Linked DNA regions of Oryctolagus cuniculus. The protein of the gene in region 3 interacts with the protein of the main gene of each other region in a pairwise test. Links are inferred from orthologs where the notes say so. Each region holds a gene or a part of one and is shown on either strand. Other genes may lie near its edges. The genes, in order: DTX3, RNF125, UBE2L6, RNF144B, ARIH2 and RNF144A.

The links.
Region 1: the proteins of UBE2L6 (region 3) and DTX3 interact in binary tests that used the Homo sapiens proteins (3 or more experiments, as listed by UniProt). The link is inferred for Oryctolagus cuniculus from reciprocal best matches to the Homo sapiens genes UBE2L6 and DTX3.
Region 2: the proteins of UBE2L6 (region 3) and RNF125 interact in a two-hybrid assay, tested with the Homo sapiens proteins (3 studies listed by BioGRID and IntAct). The link is inferred for Oryctolagus cuniculus from reciprocal best matches to the Homo sapiens genes UBE2L6 and RNF125.
Region 4: the proteins of UBE2L6 (region 3) and RNF144B interact in binary tests that used the Homo sapiens proteins (3 or more experiments, as listed by UniProt). The link is inferred for Oryctolagus cuniculus from reciprocal best matches to the Homo sapiens genes UBE2L6 and RNF144B.
Region 5: the proteins of UBE2L6 (region 3) and ARIH2 interact in binary tests that used the Homo sapiens proteins (3 or more experiments, as listed by UniProt). The link is inferred for Oryctolagus cuniculus from reciprocal best matches to the Homo sapiens genes UBE2L6 and ARIH2.
Region 6: the proteins of UBE2L6 (region 3) and RNF144A interact in a two-hybrid assay, tested with the Homo sapiens proteins (2 studies listed by BioGRID and IntAct). The link is inferred for Oryctolagus cuniculus from reciprocal best matches to the Homo sapiens genes UBE2L6 and RNF144A.

What each region holds. Positions count from the first base shown.
Region 1 is NC_091442.1:60,208,538-60,212,705, reverse strand, and holds the start of DTX3 (probable E3 ubiquitin-protein ligase DTX3), read right to left. Parts: upstream 2,801-4,168; 5' UTR 2,687-2,800; intron 2,638-2,686; exon of another isoform or gene 2,254-2,637; 5' UTR 2,190-2,253; intron 912-2,189; exon of another isoform or gene 768-911; intron 652-767; 5' UTR 605-651; coding exon 576-604; intron 483-575; exon of another isoform or gene 277-482; coding exon of another isoform or gene 258-276; coding exon 1-257. UniProt on the Homo sapiens protein: Regulator of Notch signaling, a signaling pathway involved in cell-cell communications that regulates a broad spectrum of cell-fate determinations.
Region 2 is NC_091441.1:45,592,409-45,595,908, reverse strand, and holds part of RNF125 (E3 ubiquitin-protein ligase RNF125), read left to right. Parts: intron 1-827; coding exon 828-922; intron 923-2,086; coding exon 2,087-2,177; intron 2,178-3,500. UniProt on the Homo sapiens protein: E3 ubiquitin-protein ligase that mediates ubiquitination and subsequent proteasomal degradation of target proteins, such as RIGI, MAVS/IPS1, IFIH1/MDA5, JAK1 and p53/TP53.
Region 3 is NC_091432.1:14,578,014-14,581,455, forward strand, and holds the end of UBE2L6 (ubiquitin/ISG15-conjugating enzyme E2 L6), read left to right. Parts: coding exon 1-55; intron 56-1,807; coding exon 1,808-1,959; 3' UTR 1,960-2,942; downstream 2,943-3,442. UniProt on the Homo sapiens protein: Catalyzes the covalent attachment of ubiquitin or ISG15 to other proteins. Functions in the E6/E6-AP-induced ubiquitination of p53/TP53. Promotes ubiquitination and subsequent proteasomal degradation of FLT3.
Region 4 is NC_091436.1:145,659,766-145,662,355, forward strand, and holds part of RNF144B (E3 ubiquitin-protein ligase RNF144B), read left to right. Parts: coding exon 1-4; intron 5-1,142; coding exon 1,143-1,283; 3' UTR 1,284-2,590.
Region 5 is NC_091441.1:100,171,768-100,175,267, reverse strand, and holds part of ARIH2 (E3 ubiquitin-protein ligase ARIH2), read left to right. Parts: intron 1-1,269; coding exon 1,270-1,421; intron 1,422-2,363; coding exon 2,364-2,507; intron 2,508-3,449; coding exon of another isoform or gene 3,450-3,475; coding exon 3,476-3,500.
Region 6 is NC_091433.1:194,632,064-194,636,297, reverse strand, and holds the start of RNF144A (E3 ubiquitin-protein ligase RNF144A), read left to right. Parts: upstream 1-1,434; 5' UTR 1,435-1,766; coding exon 1,767-1,794; intron 1,795-4,234. UniProt on the Homo sapiens protein: E3 ubiquitin-protein ligase which accepts ubiquitin from E2 ubiquitin-conjugating enzymes UBE2L3 and UBE2L6 in the form of a thioester and then directly transfers the ubiquitin to targeted substrates.

The DNA.
Region 1 (4,168 bases), on a different chromosome or scaffold from region 3:
GCTCTTTCTCTGCCTCCTTCAGCAGCCCCTTGAGAGCCTTGCGGGCCAGGTAGAGCCCATTGGGAGGGGCGGGGGGCGGGCCCTGCGGGGAGAGCTGGAGAACGTAGATGTCAGAAGTCTCGCCATCTATGAGGATGGACACGCGGTGCTCCTCCCGAAGCCGGGCCAGCCGGGCTGGGGTCTCCTTGCTCAGGAAGTCCCACACAGGCTTGGAGACAGTCACTTTGTTCTTGCAGGTGCCTCCACAGGCTGCCATTCTGGACAGGACGAACGACACTGCCCCCAGGGTGAAAGGGACTCAGGGTGGGGGGTCCCCATGGACAGGTGCCAGTGCCTCCTACATCAGGCTCCTGCCAAAGCCCACATGACCCCTATGCTCTCAAAGCTGAGCCCCCAGCCCCTCCCCCAGCTCTACCTTCCATTGAACCCCAGCACCCACTGAAGGCAAGAGTTTCCATAACTTTGTTATGATGGAAACATCAGTCTGGCTGTTTCTTTCCATTCTCCCGCTACACAGAAACAATGTGTCCCTCTGCCCTCTGGGGAGTTTTGATGCCCCCCTCTCCTTTGCTCACTTTGATCCTGAAGAGCTTAGAATTGGCATGCAGGCTCACTCTCTCTTTCCTGCTCCCTACTTGTGGGTTGTATCACCTGGTAGGGTGGGGAGGAAGAGGAGAAAAAGTAAGAAACCCCTTCTGCCAATTCCCACAGGTCCCAACCCAGCAGCCTGAAACAGAGGCAGGAGTGTGTCTCTGAGTGTAGATTACCGAATAGGGTTACTTGGGACACGGGAGGGAGGAGATCCATGTCTGGGTGGAAGCTGAGGTTCCCACAAGGGGCAAGTACCTGGAAAGCCCATGGAAGATGACGGCAGCAGAAGCCCCTCTATATCCACACTCAGCTGACCAGGGCTGGGGGAGGGTTAACAGTTACCATGGCAAATGTTCTCTCTCTCCCTGGCAGCCCAGAAACAAAACTTCTCCCAGGTACTCTCCTCCCCTGCAGAATGCCATTCCCAGCCTCCCCCGAGGTTGCAAGAGGCACTGTGACCTGTTAACCTTCCTCTTCCCGGCTCCAGCTCTGGGGCTCCCCAAAAAGCCCAGGGTCCAAGTAAGATAAGTCAACACAGCAGAAGCCCACATCAGTGGAGCTTTCTTATCACCTCCCTCAGATCACATAGACAAGAAATTGCCCTGTGCTCCCCAACTCCTTGTCCTGCTCCCACTTTCTCAAAGAACTCTGCCCTGAAGCCGGTGAGCTGAAGTTAGGGGTGCAGAAAGTGGCAGCGGCCCTGCAGTAACAAAGTTCTCACCGTCACCTTTGAGACCCAGCATGCCCGCGGGGCTGCTTGCCAGCTCCCCGGTCTGCATTTAGGGAGGGGCAGGGCTCAGGGGCACAGCTGGAGGGGTCAGAGGTGTCCCTGAGCCCTGTCAGATTCAGTCACTGGGCTGTCCTCACAACACCTCCAAATGCAGCTTGTCAACTAGAAAGAGGGGCCATGTGACCTCAATTTCTTATCTGATCCAAAAAGGAGCAGCTGTCCCTTTGTGCCTCCATCGTAGTCTGCTCAAGGCCAGATGGACCTCGGATTCAGAAAGTGACACTGGATCTTAGAGCCCCCAGTGCTTGCCCCTGATGGAGCATCCCCTTCCCGACGTGGGGGGGGGGGGGGGAGACCCCTAGGACCTAAGTGTCCTAGCTCCAAGTCCTGCTGGCACAGAAGAGGGAGGCGGGGCCACCGCTTAGGCTGGGTCTGTGATTCCTCTGGGGCAGCCCTGGCCGGACTCGGGCCCAGTTCTGGCCTCCAGATAGAGGGTGGAGGCAGGGACAGCCCGGAAGGGCAAGGGTCCCTCGGGGCATCCACTGTGGCAGCTCCACCCCTCCCCCCACGACCCCCTCCAGGTCCCGACCTGGACCCAACTCCCCACTTCCCCTACTCGCCCAAGCCCCCACAGCCTCACCACCAGCTGGGTGGTGTACGGTGGCCTGATCGCGGCCCTCAGAACCCCCAGACGGAGGCCTGGAGGCCGGGGCCGGAGGATCAGAGAGATGAAGGGCCGGGCACCGAGGGGGGCCCCGGCGCGGTGCGTGGGGGTAGGGGATGCCAGAGGAGGTGGGGGGGCGTGAGGGGGCCGCGAGCGGGGGCCGGGGGGCGCGCAGTGGGTGTGGGGGGCGCCGGGCTCACCTACCTCTCGTCAGCGCCGCCATTGCCGGTCACATGACTGAGGCTGTTGCTGGGATGACGGTCCGGGCCTTAGCAACAAGGGGGGGGAGACCCTGAGAGGGTTGGGGGGGCTGCAGGGGTGCAGTGAGAGACTGAGGAAGAGGGAGGACAGCACCCCCTCTCCCCTCACAGGTGATGATTACCGCTTCCCTTGACCCCTGCTATGCGGGAGCCCCTGCCCTTCCGCCCCAAAACAAAAATGGAGGCGCAGTCCCAGGCTTGGGAGGGAGGGGTGGCGTCATGTAAGTGAGGGTAGGAGGTTAAATCCCTCGGAGACGCCACCCTCCTCGCGCCCCTCCTCTCCTTTCCCAGCCAGCTGCGTGGCAGCTTCGGGGGGCGGGGGCTGGAGGGGCAGGGTTTGCGAATCCTTGTGCGGGAAGGGACTTGGGAGGAACGAGGCGGGATGGGAAGGGGCACAGTGAAAAGCAACGCACTGATTCTAAAACAGAAGCGTCTCCTTACCAGCGGCTCCGGGGCCCTCCCTCGCCCCTGGCCTCTTCCCAGATCACCTGGGACCCCCACCACCTGCGCTCACACAAGGGGACTGCCTGATCCTTCCCCTTCCAAGACTGGGGTAGCGAGGCTGGTGCAGAATGAGCAAGTGAATACACTGTTTTGTTTTTCAAATCACTGGGGGTGGTGCTGGTGTCAAGTGTATGGTTCTAATAGAGTTAAAAACTCAGAAAGGAAAAAAAAAAAGCCAGCTCTGTTCTGCTTCCCACGTCAGGCAGTCTCCGCCCCCACCCAGCTCACTTCCCAGGGGCCACATCAAGCCAGGTTTTTCCACCAGCAAGGCCGTGGGCCAAGCTACACTCACTCTCCCAGACTGGCAACAGCCCCTACTCCCCCACCCTTCACTTTCCCAGGCCCCCGTGCTACTCTGCCTGCCCTTCAGGGGGTGCACCCTGGGGGAACACTGGGTTCCTCTGCCTTTAGCTGCTCGCTGCTGGACAGGCCTACTCACCTTTCCAGAGACTGGTGCTAGGAAGGCCTCAGAGAGGGAGGGTCACCCCCCCACGCCCCATTCCCAGAGGTGATTTAGTTTCCCACTCCCGTGCACACCCATCACTAGCTGTTGAATTCACAGCCTTCTGCCTAAAAACCAGTGCCTAGTGGGGGCCCAACACACCTCGAAGGCCAGAAGTACCCCTAAGTACAGGCTTTCTCAAAGTTTTTTTTTTTTTTAGAAAAGGCAATAATGTAAAGGAATTGAATAATTTATTTTCTGTATTGTAGTAGTAATGGGAGTAAATACACAAGACCTTTTTATTAATAAAACAAAAAAGAGGAAAAACAGAAGCAACAAATGAAGACCATACTGCCCATGATACATCAGCCACATGGCCAGAACACCACTTCTAAAGGACAATGGTTGCTGGTGTCACAGAGTTTTATTGCATTCGACAGGGAAAAGGTAGCAGGCTGGAATGGAAACGGTCCATCAGGGCCCTGATGGGAAAGCATTAGAGAGGTTCCAACCCCCAGCTGGGGACTCCTCTTGCTACTTCCTTTTGGAGGAGATTAAGGGGAGCCAGGGCTTCTCCCTATGACCTCATGACCTCTCGTGAAACCGATCAGTCCCAGCCAGACACAGAGAAGAGCAGCCCTGCAGCCCCAAGGGCAGCTGCTTGCATCCACCTTTCCGTTAACTGTGGGGTCCAACACGAGTGCCCGGGTTCCACACCCGCCTCCAGCTCCTGATGCAGACCCTGGGAGGCCACGGTGATGGCTCAAGTGATTGGGTTCCTGCCACTCAAATGGGAGACCTGGACTGAGTTCCCGGCTCCCAGATTCAGCCCTCAGTCCTAGCTACTGTGGGCATCGGGGGACACGAACTAGTGGATGGGAACTCTTATCTGTCTCTCTCAAATTAGAAAAAAGAAAGTTTAAATGTGGGAAGCTCCAAGGGGCTGGAGGACAACCTGAGCACAGGTGCTCTGGCTT
Region 2 (3,500 bases), on a different chromosome or scaffold from region 3:
TTAGTAGAATATGTGCTGTGTTAGCAATAGACCCCTCATGGTGAAGCTCTCTGAATGTATATCTGGAGGAATAGGGGCTCTTTATTCTGCACTGATGAAAATCGATGGCAAGAGCCGTCTTTTATGTTTGCTTTTAATGGAGCCATTAAGTATATTGTGCATTGTGAATTCATGTCTTAACTGCGTACATTATAAAACCATGGTATTTATCTTGCCCTAAAGCACAAGGTTTCTATTAACTTACTGTGGAGATCTTTATCCATTTAGTCTTATCTCTCTTTATTTCTTTTCCTTCTTAAGTTTTTCTTTTTTTCCTCCCTCTCTCCTTTTCTTCACTCATTTTCCTTCTTTCCTTTCTTTCTCTGGCATGCACAAAATGCAAATTTTGAGTTACTAACCATTGTTCCAATTCAAAGTGTATATATATATATGTATATATGTATATATATGTTCTATGTTCTATACACTTTATACATAGTACATAAAATATATATAATATAGTATATTATATATAAATTATTAACTATAAATGTATAGTATATAAAGTAAATATATATAATATATAGTATATATATAAAGTACATATACTTTATATTTTTCTAGAAGAATCAAGTTCAAGAACTAACATTTGGGTCTACTAAGTATTGGAGAAATTTTAAAATAGTTTTATTCTTGATGATGCCCTAATTTCGTGATACTGTTGTCATGAATGCATCTATTTAAATAACTGGCTGGCTCATAGTATGATCTTATTTGAAAGTTATAACCTGGGTTACATAAAGCCCTCTTTCAACAGTGAAAGTTATTTTGCATTTGCTTTTCTATAGGTTTGCCTCAGTGAGATGAGAGCGCACATAAGGACTTGTCAGAAGTACATTGATAAGTATGGACCACTACAAGAACTTGTGGAGACAGCAACAAGGTTTGTTTCAGTACAATGGAGTTTGATGTTAAATCTGATGCATCTATAAAGAATTTAAGGGGTAGGAGAGTTTAACGCTTATGAAAATATTTATGTAGTTATGTTTAGGCATTTCACCATAAAACCTGGTACTGTTAATTATTTGTTAATAGCAATCATTGTCATTGTCTACTTTAAAAACTGTGTAGGGAACGGACCACGCAATGGAGAGATTAGGGTAACTTTCTTAGAAAAGTTTATATTAGAGAAGACCCAAAAATAGAATGCTGAACTGTTAGATTTCTGGTAGGCAGTAGCTTAACCTGTGTAAAAATTTAACGGGGTAGTTACAAGTCAGTTTTTATTTTGCACCGAAAACTAAGAATGTGAGTTGACACCTGAAATTATGTACTCCTGTTCTTGTGGAGTTGGAGAACAAATAGCACCCAATTTGGATGTTATCTGTTATGAAAGGGAGGAAGAAAAAGATAACTACAGAACTGTTGATTGCTGTGATCCTCAGTTTCTCAATTAATGGCTGCTCTGATTATATTTCCCTTCCAAAGAGAATAAAGTGCTTTAAGTGTACTATTAGGCTGGCACCGTGGCTCAACAGGCTAATCCTCCACCTAGTGGCGCCGGCACACCGGGTTCTAGTCCCAGTCAGGGCGCCGGATTCTGTCCCGGTTGCCCCTCTTCCAGGCCAGCTCTCTGCTGTGGCCTGGGAAGGCAGTGGAGAATGGCCCAAGTGCTTGGGCCTTGCACTCCATGGGAGACCAGGAGAAGCACCTGGCTCCTGCCTTCGGATCCGCGTGGTGCGCTGGCCGCAGCGCACCGGCCGCGGCGGCCATTGGAGGGTGAACCAACGGCAAAGGAAGACCTTTCTCTCTGTCTCTCTCTCTCACTATCCACTCTGCCTGTCTAAAAAAAAAAAAAAAAAAAAAGTGTACTATTAACTGTTTTTCTGCCTTCCCAGGGAAGCTACTAACTGATATTTCTTAGGAGAAAAATTCAGGCATCTGGATCAGCTCTATTATCAGGACAGAACAAATAATGCCAAATCAAAGAAAGAATTAGGAACAGAGATCAGATACCCCTCTGTTGTATTTTTCTAATCCCTACTTATGCTACTACTCTCTGATTGCCAGCAATTTGAGTAACATTTGGATTCTCTGTGATTTTCAGGTGTGTATGTCCATTTTGTCAGAGGGAGTTGGATGAAGACAGCCTGCTGGATCATTGTATTACTCATCACAGATCAGAAAGGAGGCCTGTGGTAAGGAATTTTGCTACTATGTATTTGAGTAATGTCCTAATTCTGGATACATTAGATAGTCTAGTCCATTTAATAGATTTCTATTTATAGCTTTGTTATAAAGGACAATAATTGATGTTGAGGTTATGATAATTCTATGTTAATGATATGTGAAAGTGCTGAGTTGAAACTGACAAGAACTTCTAATGTGCAATTGCTCTTTCATTTATGAAATTATACATTATCTCTTACAGATACTCAAGGGCATAATCAACTAAAATGATCCAAAATGCATATATAAAATCTAATTTTAGTTTACTAACCGTAGTCATACCCTAAGTTTAAAATATTTTTAAGTAATGCAAATAGTGATATGACACTAGAAATGAAGTCACTCATTTTAATTGATTAACCTATTGTTTTTTTTCCTAATCTGAATACTTATCCATATGCCTAGTAGATATACATATGGCATATGGCTCTTCCTTTCCTAGATTTATTGTTTTTTTTTGTTTTTTTTTTTTTTTTTTTTTTGACAGGCAGAGTGGACAGTGAGAGACAGAGAGAGAGAGAGAAAGGTCTTCCGTTGCCGTTGGTTCACCCTCCAGTGGCCGCCACGGCTGGTGCGCTGCGGCCGGCACACCGCGCTGATCCAAAGCCAGGAGCCAGGTGCTTCTCCTGGTCTCCCATGGAGTGCAGGGCCCAAGCACTTGGGCCATCCTCCATTGCGCTCCCGGGCCACAGCAGAGAGCTGGCCTGGAAGAGGGGCAACCGGGACAGAATCTGGCGCCCTGACTGGGACTAGAACCCAGTGTGCGGGGCCGCTAGGTGGAGGATTAGCCTATTGAGCCGCGGCGCCGGCTAGATTTATTGTTAATGCTGCCTTTTGTCTTTTCAACCTGGCATTTTAGTTCCACTGTGCTATGTAGTTTTTGCATTTTTAAAGATTTTATTATTTTATCTATTTGAAAGACATACTGACAAAAAGAAAGAGACCCTCCATCCGTTGGTTCACACCCCAAATGGCCATGATGGTTAGGCTGGGCCAGGCTGAAGCCAGGAGCCACGAACTCCATCTGGATTTCCCACATGGGTGCAGGAGTCCAAGTACTTGGGTAATCTGCTGCTGCATTCCTAGGTGTGTTAGAAGGGAGCTGGATTAGAAGTGGAGCAGTCAGGATGCGAACTGTTGCTCTGATATGGATCCAGCATCACAGGTGGCTGCTTAGCCCACCACGCTACAATACTGTCCCTGCTGTGTTTTTATACATTTTTAAAATTAGACACACATAACCTATGTCTATTTTTAAAAATATCTAGTTATTTTCATTTTACTCAATCAGA
Region 3 (3,442 bases):
TGCCTGCCCATCATCAGCAAAGAGAACTGGAAGCCTTACACCAAGGCCTACCAAGGTGGGGCTGGGCCTTACCCCTGAGGGCGACACTGTTACTGGGTGGAGGAAGTTAGTGGACTTATTTTGAGTTAGACAAGCCTGAAAGAGAGGAGATAAAATGTGAGTCTCCGTGGAACCTACCGTTAGAGAGAAGGGGTGCCTCCTGAGATCCTGGATGCTCCTGGGCAGGTGTGACAGAGGAACTTGACCATGGACATGGGAAAGAGAGGCAGCGTGAATGCAGGGGGCAGGGCTTGGGACTAAGAAGGCCTGCTGCCCCATGTGTGGACTTAGGGCAAGACTCTATTCCTCTGTGGGACTCAGCACCCTAAGTGACAGTTGACAGTGGAGGGGATTGTCCTAACTGTGACAGTATTCATCCCTTAACTAAGCGCTGTCAGTGCACTGTGCAAAGAGCACTGTGAGCCTGCCCGCATCACCCCCAGGAGGTAGTGCTGTCATTAGCCCCATGTAATAGAGCCAGAGGCACATGAGTGGTGAAGCCGCTGCCTAAGGTCCTGTGGCTTGCAGATGGCAGAGCTTGGCTGACTCTAGAGCAGTGTTGTCCAGCTGAACTTGGTGCGGCCATGGAAATTTCCACAGCCCCACTGTCTGGTACCATCATCCCGGGCCTCATGTGGCTGTGCAACCAAGAAACAGAATTCTTCATGATGTTTTTTGTTGTTGTTTTTGTTTTTGTTTGTTTTAGGAAAGCTGTGGCCCATATAGGGGGCAAGATATTTTTTTAAAGGTTTATTTATTTTTATTTGAAAGTCAGAGTTACACAGAGTGAGGAGAGGCAGAGAGAGGGAGAGAGAGAGGTCTTCCATCCGATGGTCTACTCCCCAGTTGGCCGCAATGGCTGGAGCTGTGCTGATCTGAAGCCAGGAGCCAGGAGCTTCTTCCGGGTCTCCTCTGCAGGTGCAGGGGCTCAAAGACTTGGGCCGTCTTCTACTGTTTTCCCAGGCCATAGCAGAGAGCTGGATTGGAAGTGGAGCAGCCAGGTCTTGAACTGGTGCCCATATGGGATGCCAGCGCTTCAGGCCAGGGCGTTAACCTGCTGAGCCACAGCTCCCACCTTGTTCATGTTGTTTAATTTTAGTTAATTTAGAAAACTACATGGAGCTCCACATTGAACAATGGAGCTCCAGAACCCATGGGCTTCCTCTGGGTGCTGTCGTGTGTCTGGTCCAGCTCGGGAATTCTTAACCTGGGAAACAAGACTCTTGGCGTGGTGGTGGTGGGGCTGGGATGTGGGAGAGGTCCTAGGATGAGCCTCAGGGCTCTGTGGTGACGCACTGTTCACTCAGAGCTGTGTTTATGTGCGTACACATGTGTACTTGGGCTTCCACCTGCACGGGGCTCCCAAGGGCATCTGGAAAAGATTAAGTGCCATAGCAATAGGTTTTCCATCTTCAGCCTTAGAACCTTTTTTTCCCAGATAAATTTATTTGGAATCCCAGAATAACAACAGAAAACCAGGATGGGTCTTGTCGAAATGGGGCTGAAACCCCAAAATCTCTCTTATCTCAGTGACCCCAGAATGTGTAACTTTTCTGAAGCCATAGGACATAGCTGTTTGTAAAACACTGATCTCACCCGGCAAAGCTTTGGGCATCGTCCACCAGGAAGGGGAGGCAGTCTAAGAGATGGACTGTCCTTGGGGGTCCCCCTGAGCAGTGAGTGGGGGGATCCGGGGAGTGGACAGCCAGTGCCTCTATCCAGGGTTTTTCCCTCTGCCCTGATGTCCCGCTCTGGCCTCTCTCCACAGTCTTGGAGGCCCTCTACAATTTGGTGAATAGACCGGATCTGGCGGAGCCCGTGCGGGTAGAGCTGGCTGACCTGCTGACCCAGAACCCGGAGCTGTTCCAGAGGAAGGCAGAAGAGTTCACCCTCCAGTTCGGAGTGGACCGGCCCTCCTAAATTGGGTTTTGACCCCATCTGCGTGGGATCCTCTGCATGGTGGACCAATATACCTCACGGACTGGGGCTGGAGCCCCTGGATGAACCACTCCCCACTCAGTTTTTCCTTCTTAGGTTGCTAGCCATGAGTTTGTGTATGTGTGTGTGGCAGGAGGGAGGCTGTGGATGTGTGTGTGGTGTGAGGCCTCGCTGCCCCCAGGTTCACCTGGCCACAGGTGTGCCCTGCCCACTCCCTGAGCCTTCCCCACAGCCAAGGGGGTTTAAGTTTGCAGAGTGAACAGGTTAAATCTCCAGGGAGAGAGAGACAGGTCACATTCTAAGTCAGCCTGCTGGAAACCAGGATCCCTCCAGGGTCCAGGGCCCCAGGGAGCAGGGAGTATGGATGGGAAGCCGGGCTCGTGGAGGGCACTGTATTTCATATTTCAGTGGAGTGGTTGAAACCAGCCAAGCTACTGAGCGCCATGCACCGATTTAGGTGCTAAACCATTCATTTTCCATTTTCCACTGTTGAATCCTAAAACGAGGAGTCTGACCTCCATCCGGGGAGTCTGACTGTGTATTTTGACATTTCCTGCTATCCTGCCAGGTGGCCAGTTCCTGGGGACGGTAAGGCTGTGGCCAGCACCCGGTCCAGCAGAATCTACAGAGCCCAGTGCTTGCCTGGCCAGTGACGTCACAGATGGGGCAGGCAGTTGGCCTAGTGGTCAAGACCCTGGTTGGGATGGCCACGTCCCATACTGGAGTGCCTGGGCTTGAATCCCAGCTCTGCTCTCGACTCCAGCTTCCTGTTCGTGGGCACTGTGGGAGGCAGTGGGGGAAGGCTCAAGTGATTGGATCTCTGCCACCCTCCTGGGGGACCTGGATTGAGTTCCCAGTTCCTGATTCCCCACCCTTAACCCCCGCCCAGTGTCGGAGATTGAACCAGTGGATGGGAGTGCTCTCTCTCTCTCTCTAACAGAAATTAAACTTTAAATAGAAATGTTTTCTATGTCACAGGTGAATTCTGGGGTTGTGTCTCCAGTGAGGGGTGGGGTGGTTTCATCCATACCAGAGAGGGGGCTGCCCCGGCTGCTGCTGCCCCACAAACCCGTCGCCCTGCTTCCCGGACGCTGACCCCCAGCAGAGGTCCTCCGGAGTCCAGGGGCTGGGGGGCGGCCGTGTGGCACCGCGTTTGAGTCACTGCTGGGGACGTCTGTGTTCAAGTCCCAGGTGTTCTGCTTCTGATCCACTCAGCTTCCTGAATTGCCGGCATTTGGGAAGTGAACCCCCGGCCGGAACATCGCTCTCCATCTGTCTCGTGGTGTCTTGCTGTCTCTGCCTTTCACATGACACGAAAGTAAATAGGTTTTGTGAAAAGGTTCCCAGGGGTATCCACCGTTTTAGAGATGAGGCAGCCAAGGCACGGAGCGGCCCTTCGGTGGATCCCTTGGGTCCGTATTGCCAGTTAGGATGGACTCCACGCCTCCTGCAGCCACGCATCCTG
Region 4 (2,590 bases), on a different chromosome or scaffold from region 3:
ACAGGTAATCCTGAACTTGAAGGGAGCATGAGACAAACAAGGAGCCCACCCATTCATCCTCGTCACTCTCTTCCCTTCCCATCCATGCCTGTCTGGGATGTTCTGGGCTGTGATAGGGAGAAGTGATGGGGCAACTGCCAAAGTCTCCATGCAGATAACAGTGACCTACAGAATCACAGCAGACCTCTTTCCCCTTGACATTCGATGGAATGACCCCTAAATCGCTGTAATGCTTAATAATGATGCCTATCAGAGGCAGCGCTGGACAGTCCCATGAGCCCCTGCTGGGACTTAGAACCCTCTGTACCTGCCATTGTGTGTTTGTGTGGTAGGTTCAAAGGGAGTCATGGTTTATTTTTATATTTATCAAAGGCCACGGTTCTTTTGAGGGAGTCAGTGCTAACATCCCAGCAATCATTAACATCCCTGTGAGAATATAGAGGCAACTCAGGTAGAGAAAGTGCCAACAGCAATGGCTTCTGAGTAGATTGAGCTTGAGACAGAGCTGGAGTTAGCATTTGGTTTGCTCTCACCCTCGATTTTGATTTTTTTGTGTCTCCCTGGTTTGTACCCATTTTGGGCCAGTGCTGGGGTGCTAGTGAAAAGATCCCATAGATATAACTTTTATATGCTCCAAATGATGTCTTATTTATTCAGGCTGCTTGAATGATTTAGACAGCAGAAATTCAAGGGCTCTCTTCCTGCTTCAAAGATGTCCATTTTTTGTTGGGTCCTCCCTTGATGAAGAACAGGGAGAAAGGAAACAAGCTCTCAAACATTTCTTCTTCTTCTTCTTTTTTTTTTTTTTTTTTTTTTTGATATAAGGAAATGTTTATTGGAGCTATTTGATTGTGTTCAGGTTCAAGGCTACATAGCTGATTCCCAGGAGTCACAATTCACATGGAAAACAATGTGGTGACCTTCAAGGCACATCTCTTCCATAGGGCCACTAATCACATCATGAGGACCCTACCCTTATAATTTAATTCATCTCCAAAGACCTTATCTCCAAAATCACACTGGGGATTTGGTTTTGGCATATTAATTTGGAGGGCACAATCCATAGCAGATGGTGCAGTTGGAATAAATACACATGTAGGAAGATTTAACTGCTGAAACATGCTTTTCTTTTAAATTTCTAGGTGGTGGGGATTCTCGTAGGATTGGGCATCATTGCCTTGGTGACTTCACCCTTGTTACTCCTGGCCTCACCCTGCATCATCTGTTGCGTCTGCAAGTCATGTCGGGGCAAGAAGAAAAAGCACGACCTGTCCACAACCTAAGGATCTCTATTATGTCCATGTGCCACAAATGTCTGCGTTATATGACATAGCACACAGCGATAAAGCCCTACGTAGTGACCTTGTCTCCTTGCCAAACTTTGGAAGTGCCTCTGTGTCCAGACTTTGAACTTGCCTGCCAGCCTTCGGCATTGACAAAGGCCAAGTCCTGGGTGCAAGTGTTCCGTGTAACAAGAACCAGGCTCTACAATTCAGGCTGTGTCTGTGGAGCATGTTGGGCACTTTGGGGAGATTGGGAAGAACACACATATCATTTTCTCATCTACAGGATCCCACTGAACTGTTCAACTTCCAGCCAATTCAAGGAGCCTGCCATTCGATGTAATAAATGAGTTGTGGTTGGTAACACATATGATAACAGAAACCCCATTCTCTTCTGTCTTGATTTGACCACCATGAGACACCTGAGGGAAGCCTGGTGTAGGAGGGGAAGGATGGACTGCAGAACAGAGAATTTTCATGAGAGCTGGAAGCAGCCTGCTTATCTTAGGAGTCAATGGCTTTGTGCTACTGGCTGTGCCGTTCCCAGCGTTCCCGCAGTGACCTGGCAGAAGCACAATAGCTTTCTCCTTGTCTGATCTCAGCTTCAGGCAGGAGAAACTGCTGTGCAAGAGGGTGTTGTCTTTTCCTCAGTAATCAGGTTGCAGCATGTGAAACAGCATGGTCTAATTTAGGGTCTCTCCCTCAGCGAAAAAGAACTTTCCTGGGGCCAACTTGTCTTTTACAGCCTGGACTTGTGGTCTACAAAATTGCTTTATATGAAATGTGGATCTAGTGGTAAAGACTCAAAATCTCCCTGATAGATACCAGGGGTCTTTCTCAGGCTCTGTGTTCCCAACAGATCTGAAATTAGACTTAAAAGTGTACCACGAAAATACATGTTAAAGTCCATCTGGAATCCATATGACTTGCAGCCTATCTAGAATTTCTACCAATTGGACCTGCATGGATATACTCAATAATAAACACAAATTCATTCTATCCTGTGACTAAAATAGCTTAATATAAATCAAGCTTAAGATATTTTGCATATTATATATGTGAATTTTGGTTGCAAGTTCGTATCTTACCCAAGGGTATAGACTCAGAAATATTAATCTTTTAAAATAGTACCTAGAACAATATCATAGTATGTCTATTTATAAAAATATTCATTGATAATCAAGTTATTTACATGTTTTCATACATAAGTCAGAGCAGCTCTGTTCTTGATAATTTAGTGCTGTGTGTACAGGCACTGATAAAACAACAAAAATGTTTAACAAATAAAATGAAAATGTTTTATATCT
Region 5 (3,500 bases), on a different chromosome or scaffold from region 3:
GCTTTGCTGTGTAATTAATTATACTGCTTATAGGAGCAACCCTAGCCAATGCGGTATTTGAAACAGTAGCAAGCACAAGTTGCCAGGGAGAGGGCAGTATTGCCGCTGTTAGATGAAGGCTCCCAGGAGAAGTTGAACAGCCTTTGGGTCTCTGGGTTTGGCTTTAGCTTCCCTACAGCTTGACAAGAGCCTAAGCAGAGTTTACCTACCACTGTCAGGGGCTCTGCAGACAGGACATCATCTACATTATTGGACATACAAATGAACTGTGGTTGACCCTGCTCCGTTAGGCTGTAGTAATTCCTGGGATGTACGGCATCCATAAGGGTATCTTAAATTTTTCCTTTTTGCTTCCTTAGTTTGGAAGCAGAGTCATGCACCTCCCCACCTGCCCTTCCTCTCCCCTTTTCTCTCCCTCCCTCCCTTGCCCGTCTCTGTGCCTTTTAATAAATAAATAAATAAATCTTCTTTAAAAAAAAAAAATGAAGGGAGGTGCTGGCATTGAGGTGCCGTGGGTTAAGTCACCACTTGCAGTGCTGGCATCCCATATGGCTGTGGATTCAAGTCCCACTTGCTCCACTTCCAATCGAGCTCCCTGCTCATGTGCCTGGGAAAGCAGCAGAAGGTGGCCCAAATACTTGGACTCCTTCTACCCACATAGGAGACCCAGATGGAGTTTTGGTCTCCTGGCTTCAGGCTAGTCAAGCCCCTGCCATTTGGAACGTGAACCAACTAATGGAAGATATTCTCTCTCTCTCTCTCCCATCTGCCCCCCGCCCCCCACTTCCTCCTATAACACTGCCTTTTAAATAAATAAATCTTAAAAAAAAAAAAAAAAAAAAAAAGAAGAGGACCAGCTTCACATACAAACATCTTCCTAGGTCAAGTGTTAGGAAGATGAGAGATAGGATATACAGATGGTGTGTGTTGTAGCCAACCAGGTGGGCTTCAGTTGGACAAATTTCTGCTTCTTATAGTGGTACTGACACAGCAGGCCCGTGGTCCTTGTATAGTCTGCACCTACCTATGTTGAAATTAATAGACACAGAGCGCATGTGCTCATGGAATGGTGAATATCCATAAGCTGTCATATCAGCAAGGACAGGCCTCAGGGATAATGCGAGGTAATGTTCCCTCTGGAAAGAGGCAGCCAGGATGTTCTAGTCAGGTGATACCTCCGGGTCTGTCCATCCCACTGCTTTGCCAGTGCCTTGGAGGGATGTGGGTTTGTCTTACGGCTATAAGTGACTCTCCCTTTGTTCTGTGCAGACTTCTGCTGGATGTGTCTAGGAGACTGGAAGACTCATGGCAGTGAATACTATGAGTGCAGTCGGTACAAGGAGAATCCTGACATTGTCAACCAAAGCCAGCAAGCCCAGGCCAGGGAGGCCCTCAAGAAGTACTTGTTCTACTTTGAGAGGGTAGGCGTCTTTTCCTGTGCCCATCCCACCAGGGTGGGCTTCTGTGGTTAGCCTACCTGGGTGGGCTGACTGGGCTGACTGGTAGCCAGAGCCAGCCTGTGCATAGAGAACGCAGTGAATGAAGCTCCTGCCAGTAGCCCTGGTGCTACCTCTACACCTGTGCCTTTTAGGCTCTACTGGGTAGCCACAGCTGGAGAGGGACAGGGAACTGACCTCAGTTAACGATGGATGAAAGGATAATGAAGACTCATTAGACAGTTTTCATTCCAGTGCTTTTAAAAAAAATTATTTATTTATATTTAAAATAGAGAAAGAGAGATCTTCCAACTGCTGATTTACACCCCAGATGCCTACAACGACTAGGGCTGAGCCAGGCCAAAGCTAGGAGCTTTATCCTAGGTCTCCCCTGTGGGTGAAGGGGCACGAGCACTTGGGCCATCTTCCACTGCTTTCCCAGGCCACAGCAGGGAGCTGAAATGGAAGTGGAGCAGCCAGGGCATGAACTGGTGCCCATAGAATGGCAGCCTAACCCACTGCGCCGCAACACTGGCCCTCCAGTGCCTTCTTAGTGGTCAGAATTAGGGAATGGTTTCCCCCAGGGAGACCCTTCAGAAGTCAGAGTATGACAGTTGGTCCCTAAGCACAGTAGACTAGTGGGGGCCCCCGCTTTGCTTGGCTGTCAGGGCCAGAGTCCCGTTTCCCCAGCGGGATGGAGTACTTGGGCAGGCAGAGAGCTGTTCTGAGGGTTTACTGAAACTGTTCTCGTGGGTGCACTGAAAGCAAGCCCTTCCTGCACTGTGGAGGCCACACACACTCCCCGTAAGTTCAAGGAGTCTGTCGTCATGCCCTGCCAGCCAAAGGTGTGTCCTGAGTGTGTGGACCTGTGGACTTGTGGACCTCCTGGGATTCCTGCAGCTTTCTCCTTCTCTCTGTGCCCTCTAGTGGGAAAACCACAACAAAAGCTTGCAGCTAGAGGCGCAGACATACCAGCGGATTCATGAAAAGATTCAAGAGAGGGTTATGAATAACCTGGGGACGTGGATCGACTGGCAGTATCTACAGAACGCTGCCAAGCTCTTGGCCAAGGTATCTACCACCTCACTCTTGGATCCCCTCTCCAGTGCCTGGCCCCCATCAGGGCACACCTCTGAGGGTGGGAGGTCTTGTGGGGAGTGGGAGTCGTTAGCACCCTGCACAGCCTAATGTGCTTCTGCTGACAGACCCACATTTCCTTGTGCTGGGCCCTTGAGGGACTCAGTCCTTTGATGGAAGTCAGAGGCTTTTTTTTTTTTTTTTTTTTTGACAGGCAGAGTGGACAGTGAGAGAGAGAGACAGAGAGGAAGGTCTTCCTTTGCCGTTGGTTCACCCTCCAATGGCCGCCACGGCTGGCGTGCTGCAGCCGGCGCACTGCGCTGATCCGATGGCAGGAGCCAGGAGCTTTTCCTGGTCTCCCATGGGGTGCAGGGCCCAAGCACTTGGGCCATCCTCCACTGCACTCGCTGGCCACAGCAGAGAGCTGGCCTGGAAGAGGGGCAACCAGGACAGAATCCGGCGCCCCGACCGGGACTAGAACCCGGTGTGCCAGCGCCGCAAGGCGGAGGATTAGCCTAGTGAGCCGCGGCGCCGGCCCCAGAGGCTTTCTAAGAATAGTGTTCTGCTGCCTCTGCCTGCAGGGAAAACTAGAATCCCCTTCCTCTCCCTTTGTCCCATCTCTGCGTCGTGCAAAGGAAAATGAAAAGATAGTCTTCGGACAAATATTGAGATAGATATGTGGACTCTGATGTCCAACCCAAGAAGGAGAAGTCACTGAGGCAGTGCTGGTAATAAATCACAGTTTGAAAAAGGAAAGGTGGGTGTCCTGTGATCAGTTCTGTTCTGCTTTCCCCATGTCTTGCCCCAGTCCATCTTCTCCTTGGCTTGGCTCTGATTCTTTGAAGCCCAGACCTGTAGAGCCAGGTTAATCTGCATGGTGGGGCAAGAGTTTTCAGAGCCACCTGAGGTAGAGGTAGGTTAGAATCACAGACACAGGTCCCTTCTCTTCTCTCCTGCTGCAGTGTCGGTACACTCTGCAATACACCT
Region 6 (4,234 bases), on a different chromosome or scaffold from region 3:
AAGAGGCTGCCAGCAGAGCAGACAGAGAGGGAACGGCCATATTGGGGGGGGGGGAGGCAGGAGGTGGCAGGAAGTCGTCTCAGGAAGCGTTGTGAGGCTGACGCCTGGGCTGTGCCATGGGGGCCACGTGGCTTTGGGGAGGGCAGTTTGGGTTTTGATAGGAGGGCAGCAGGCAGGAGAGGAAGGGGGACAGGTTGTGGACAAGTATTTATCATTTCCCAGTGACATAGGATGCTGGTGACCAGCTATGGCGCTGTGGAGAGGAAGCATTGTGTCTGCAGGACTTGGGGGTGGGGAGCCCTCCAGAGAGGGGCTTGTGCAGGGGTTGCTGGGCCACAGGAATGGCCCGTGAAGCTTGGAGCCCCATGTGAAAGACATCACTTGGGTTCTGCTGTTTCCCCAGGCTTATCAGCTGGGACTTGCATTGTCAGCAGAATGGAGCGAGCCCTTGGCCAATCAGAGAGTGACAGAGAGAGAGGGGGGCCCAAGCTGGTGGTGCATGCCAGAGAGAAACAAGGCCCATTGCAGAGGGGCTGGAGGTGGTGCAGGGAGGAAAGAAGGCGATTGGGTTGGGTGGTCAGATACTTGGAGCTCAAGGCCCTGGAGGACCTGCGGGGGGGCTGCCCTGTAGCTGACACGTGCAGCTGGGAATTCGGGCATCTGCAGGAACCCAGGGCTCCAGCGTTGCTCTCCCCGACTCCAGCTCCATGTCCAGCTGCCTCGCCCTTTCATTGGCCAGCACTGTCCACCACATGCCTGCTGTGCCCCTAGGGTAAGACCTGGAACCCATGCATTCCTGTGCTGAGTCACTGCTCAGGAACATGGCGGCGAGGAGGAAGGTTGACATTCGTGCCTGCTCTTCTTCCTCTTGTAGTCCATGGCCCACATGTACATTATAAACTTGATGTACCTATTGTTTGCAAACTTGACTTTACTGACCCTGCGTCTGTCCCCGCATTGCGTCTGTCCCTGCAATGCACGTCCGGGTGCAGAGAGGCCTGGGGCCCTGCAGGCACACAGGGACACCTTGAAGCACGTGGGATAATGCCCTGCAAGCCCGCCTGGAACTCTGCATTCTTTCCCGCGTCTGTGCACAGGCCGTGCTGTTTGGGAATCTGGTCTGCAGCACATTCCAAGAACGGTGACACGGCTTCCTATTCACAAAGGATTCGTGTCAAAGGGGACGAAATGCCAGAGAAAGACATTCCAGCCCAGGCACAGCTATTTTTAGGGGTTTAGGATTTATAAAGGGAAACGGTGTCCCTGGACTGGAAACCGGCCCCCCATTCGCACATCTGTGATTGGAGTTGCTAAATCTGAAAGACAGTGTTGTGCTCTGTTTTCTTTTTTCCCCCAAGTGCAGAATATCATTTTTTTTTTTAAATCTCTGGCTAAGAAACTTGGACTCGTCCTTGGCTGTCCTTCAGCTCTGGGAATAGCAGTGTTGGGAGGGCTGCAGCTGCTGTCTCTGAGCCCAGGCTTTGGGCGCCTGGGCCTCTAGGGCAAAGGTCATTGTCAAGGGTGAGCTGGACACGCAGCTGTCGGCCCCCAGCTCCCATCCCCGGTAGCTTCAGGGCTGCAGATGGGGAGAAACGCGTGATGTTTTCAGAACTGAGTGCGGTTGGCGGTGCCCTGCAGGGCTGCAGCGGCTGCTGCCCTTGTTCAGAGAAGCCACAGCAGCCGCGCTCTCCACGTTTGGATCAGTTACGGTTTTCTGTGCTCGCTGCACTCCGGGCTACTTTCATATATGTCCTGTGACGTCATGTATGTGGGGTGGTGGCCAGTCCATCACAGGTGAGTCTCCCATAGTCCTCCTGGCGTGTTCCTGGGATGGCGTTGATTTCTTCCCAGGGGAGCATGTGTTTGTACAAGGTCACGGGTGCTCTCAGGATAAATGCTCAGAGTACGTTTCTGGTCCAGTAATGTTAACAAGCAGCGGCGTAGGCTCCAGGCTGCAGAGGGTGAGCACAGGCCAGGGCGAAGCTAAGACAATCAAGCATGGCTGCTGGGGGGCAGGGGGACACCTCGGACAGCAGTGCTGGGGCCAGCTGGGGCTGAGCCTGACTGTGGGCAGCCCGAGGCATGTGAATCTACCCTGTGGGTGCAGAGAGCCAGGAGGCCAGGGAGAGGGGGCCAGCAGAAGTGCTGCGTGGGTGTTGTGCACACAGATGAGCTTGAGAGCAGTGGAGAGGCCCGGACGGGAAACTGGGCCCACGCCACCTACCAAAAATCAATGCATTTTTTTCTGAATGCTAACACAGGGTTGCACAGGTACACACACACACACATTGGCCAAAGAATGCCGTGCCTTCTCTCATGTGTACAGTTTGTGAATAACTCCTAATGTGGCCATGTCCCACATTGTTCTGCAATATCTATGAGAAGACCTCTCCATCGGCAGAATTCAGATCCAGTTCAGTGACCTCCATTTCATTTTAACCTTGACTTTAGTGATTGTGCTGATCTACTCTATGAGTTGTATTCTGTGACTTCTCAGAGTTTTGAATAGTACTCCTATATAGAGACAGAATATAAATGTATGTAATATGTCATAATGCGTGTAAATATATTTATACTAAATATAAACATTGTTGAGAATTTAAACGGAATTTAAAGTGAGGTTAAGCACCTCACTTAAGTCTGATTGGCTGATTGATTTGACAATGAAAATCTCCTTTTCTGCTCAGGTTATTGGAATGACTTAAATATGTCTATAATATTGACAGACTTGCAATTGGGGTCATGTGTTTTAATAACAACACATGTTAATACTCTCTTTTTTCAAACACTGGAGTATTTTTGCTTGAACAAGTTACCTCTAAGAGAAAAAGATTTGGGTGCAGTGAAATTATTTGCCAAGTTTTTTTTCTTTTTTTAAAGATTTTTGTTTTAAAGTGATTTATTTGAGAGGCAGTTACAGACAGAGAGAGGGAGAGGCAAAAAGGTCTTCTATCCACTGGTTCACTCCCCAGAAAGCTACAATGGCTGGACCTGGGCCAATCTGAAGCCAGGAGCCAAGAGCTTCTTCAGGGTCTCCCATGTGGGTGCAGGGGCCCAAGCACTTGGGCCATCTTCTGCTTTCCCAGGCCAGAAGCAGAGAGCTGGATCAGAAGAGGAGCAGCTGGGACATGAACTGAAAACCATATGGGATGCTGGTGCCGCAGGCAAAGGCTTAGCCTATTGTGTATGCCACAGCACTGGTCTCTTTGCCAAACTTTGGAATGGTGTTAGGATGAACTTCCCAGAAACCCAGCCCTGAATGACGGATGTCTTGGTATTAAATTCCTGTGCAGTTCTGGTGGTTTCCAAAGCTGTTCATTTGTGGGGAGATCTGCTGATTCAGTTGTTAGCTGGCCACGGAAATTCATCTCCATTCTATTACTTTTATTATGTGATTTTTGCCATATGTGCGGAAAAAGTTGGTAAAATTGAGTTTCATTTTTATAATAAATTATCTGTGTATATATGTGAACAAAGGAGTAAAGCCATTATAGATGTAAAAGTGAAAAACACAAAATTGATCTTGCTTTGGATCTTATTGTAAGTAATACCTATGGTTACAGAAAATTCATGAGAAAACTACAAATCTTTTTTTTTTTTTAAAGATGTTTTGATTTTTTGAGATTCAGAGTTACAGACAGAGGGAGAGACAGAGGTCTTCCATGTCTGGTTCACTCCCCAAATGGCCGCAGTGGCCAGAGCTGGACCGTTCCGAAGTCAGGAGCCAGGAGCTTCTTCTGGATCTCCCTCGTGGGTGCTGGGGCCCAAGCACTTGGACCATCTTCCACTGCTTTCCCAGGCCATCAGCAGGGAGCAGGATTGGAAGAGGAGCTGCTGGGACTTGAACAGGTGCCCATATGGGACGCCTGTTCCGCAGGCAGAATCTTAGCCTATTATGCTACAATGCTGGCCCCTAAGCCTTCTTTTTTTAAATAGAAATCTATTTTTTAGACATACATAAGAATAATATACATCAACATTATCATGTTTATGCTATTTTTCTCAATTATGTAGTAATTACAGCCATAGTAGTGTTTATTGAGAGTGAGCGAGGCAGAGAGAGAGAGTGAGAGGACTTCCATCCTTTGGTTCACACCCCAAATATCTGCAGTGGCCCCTGGCTACAGGTTGAAGCCCCACAACTTAAACTGTCACCAGTACCTCTGAGCGTCTGGGAGCCGCAGGAAGCTGCAGCCTGGAGCTGAGTGGGACTGGAACTCAGGCACTCAGGTGT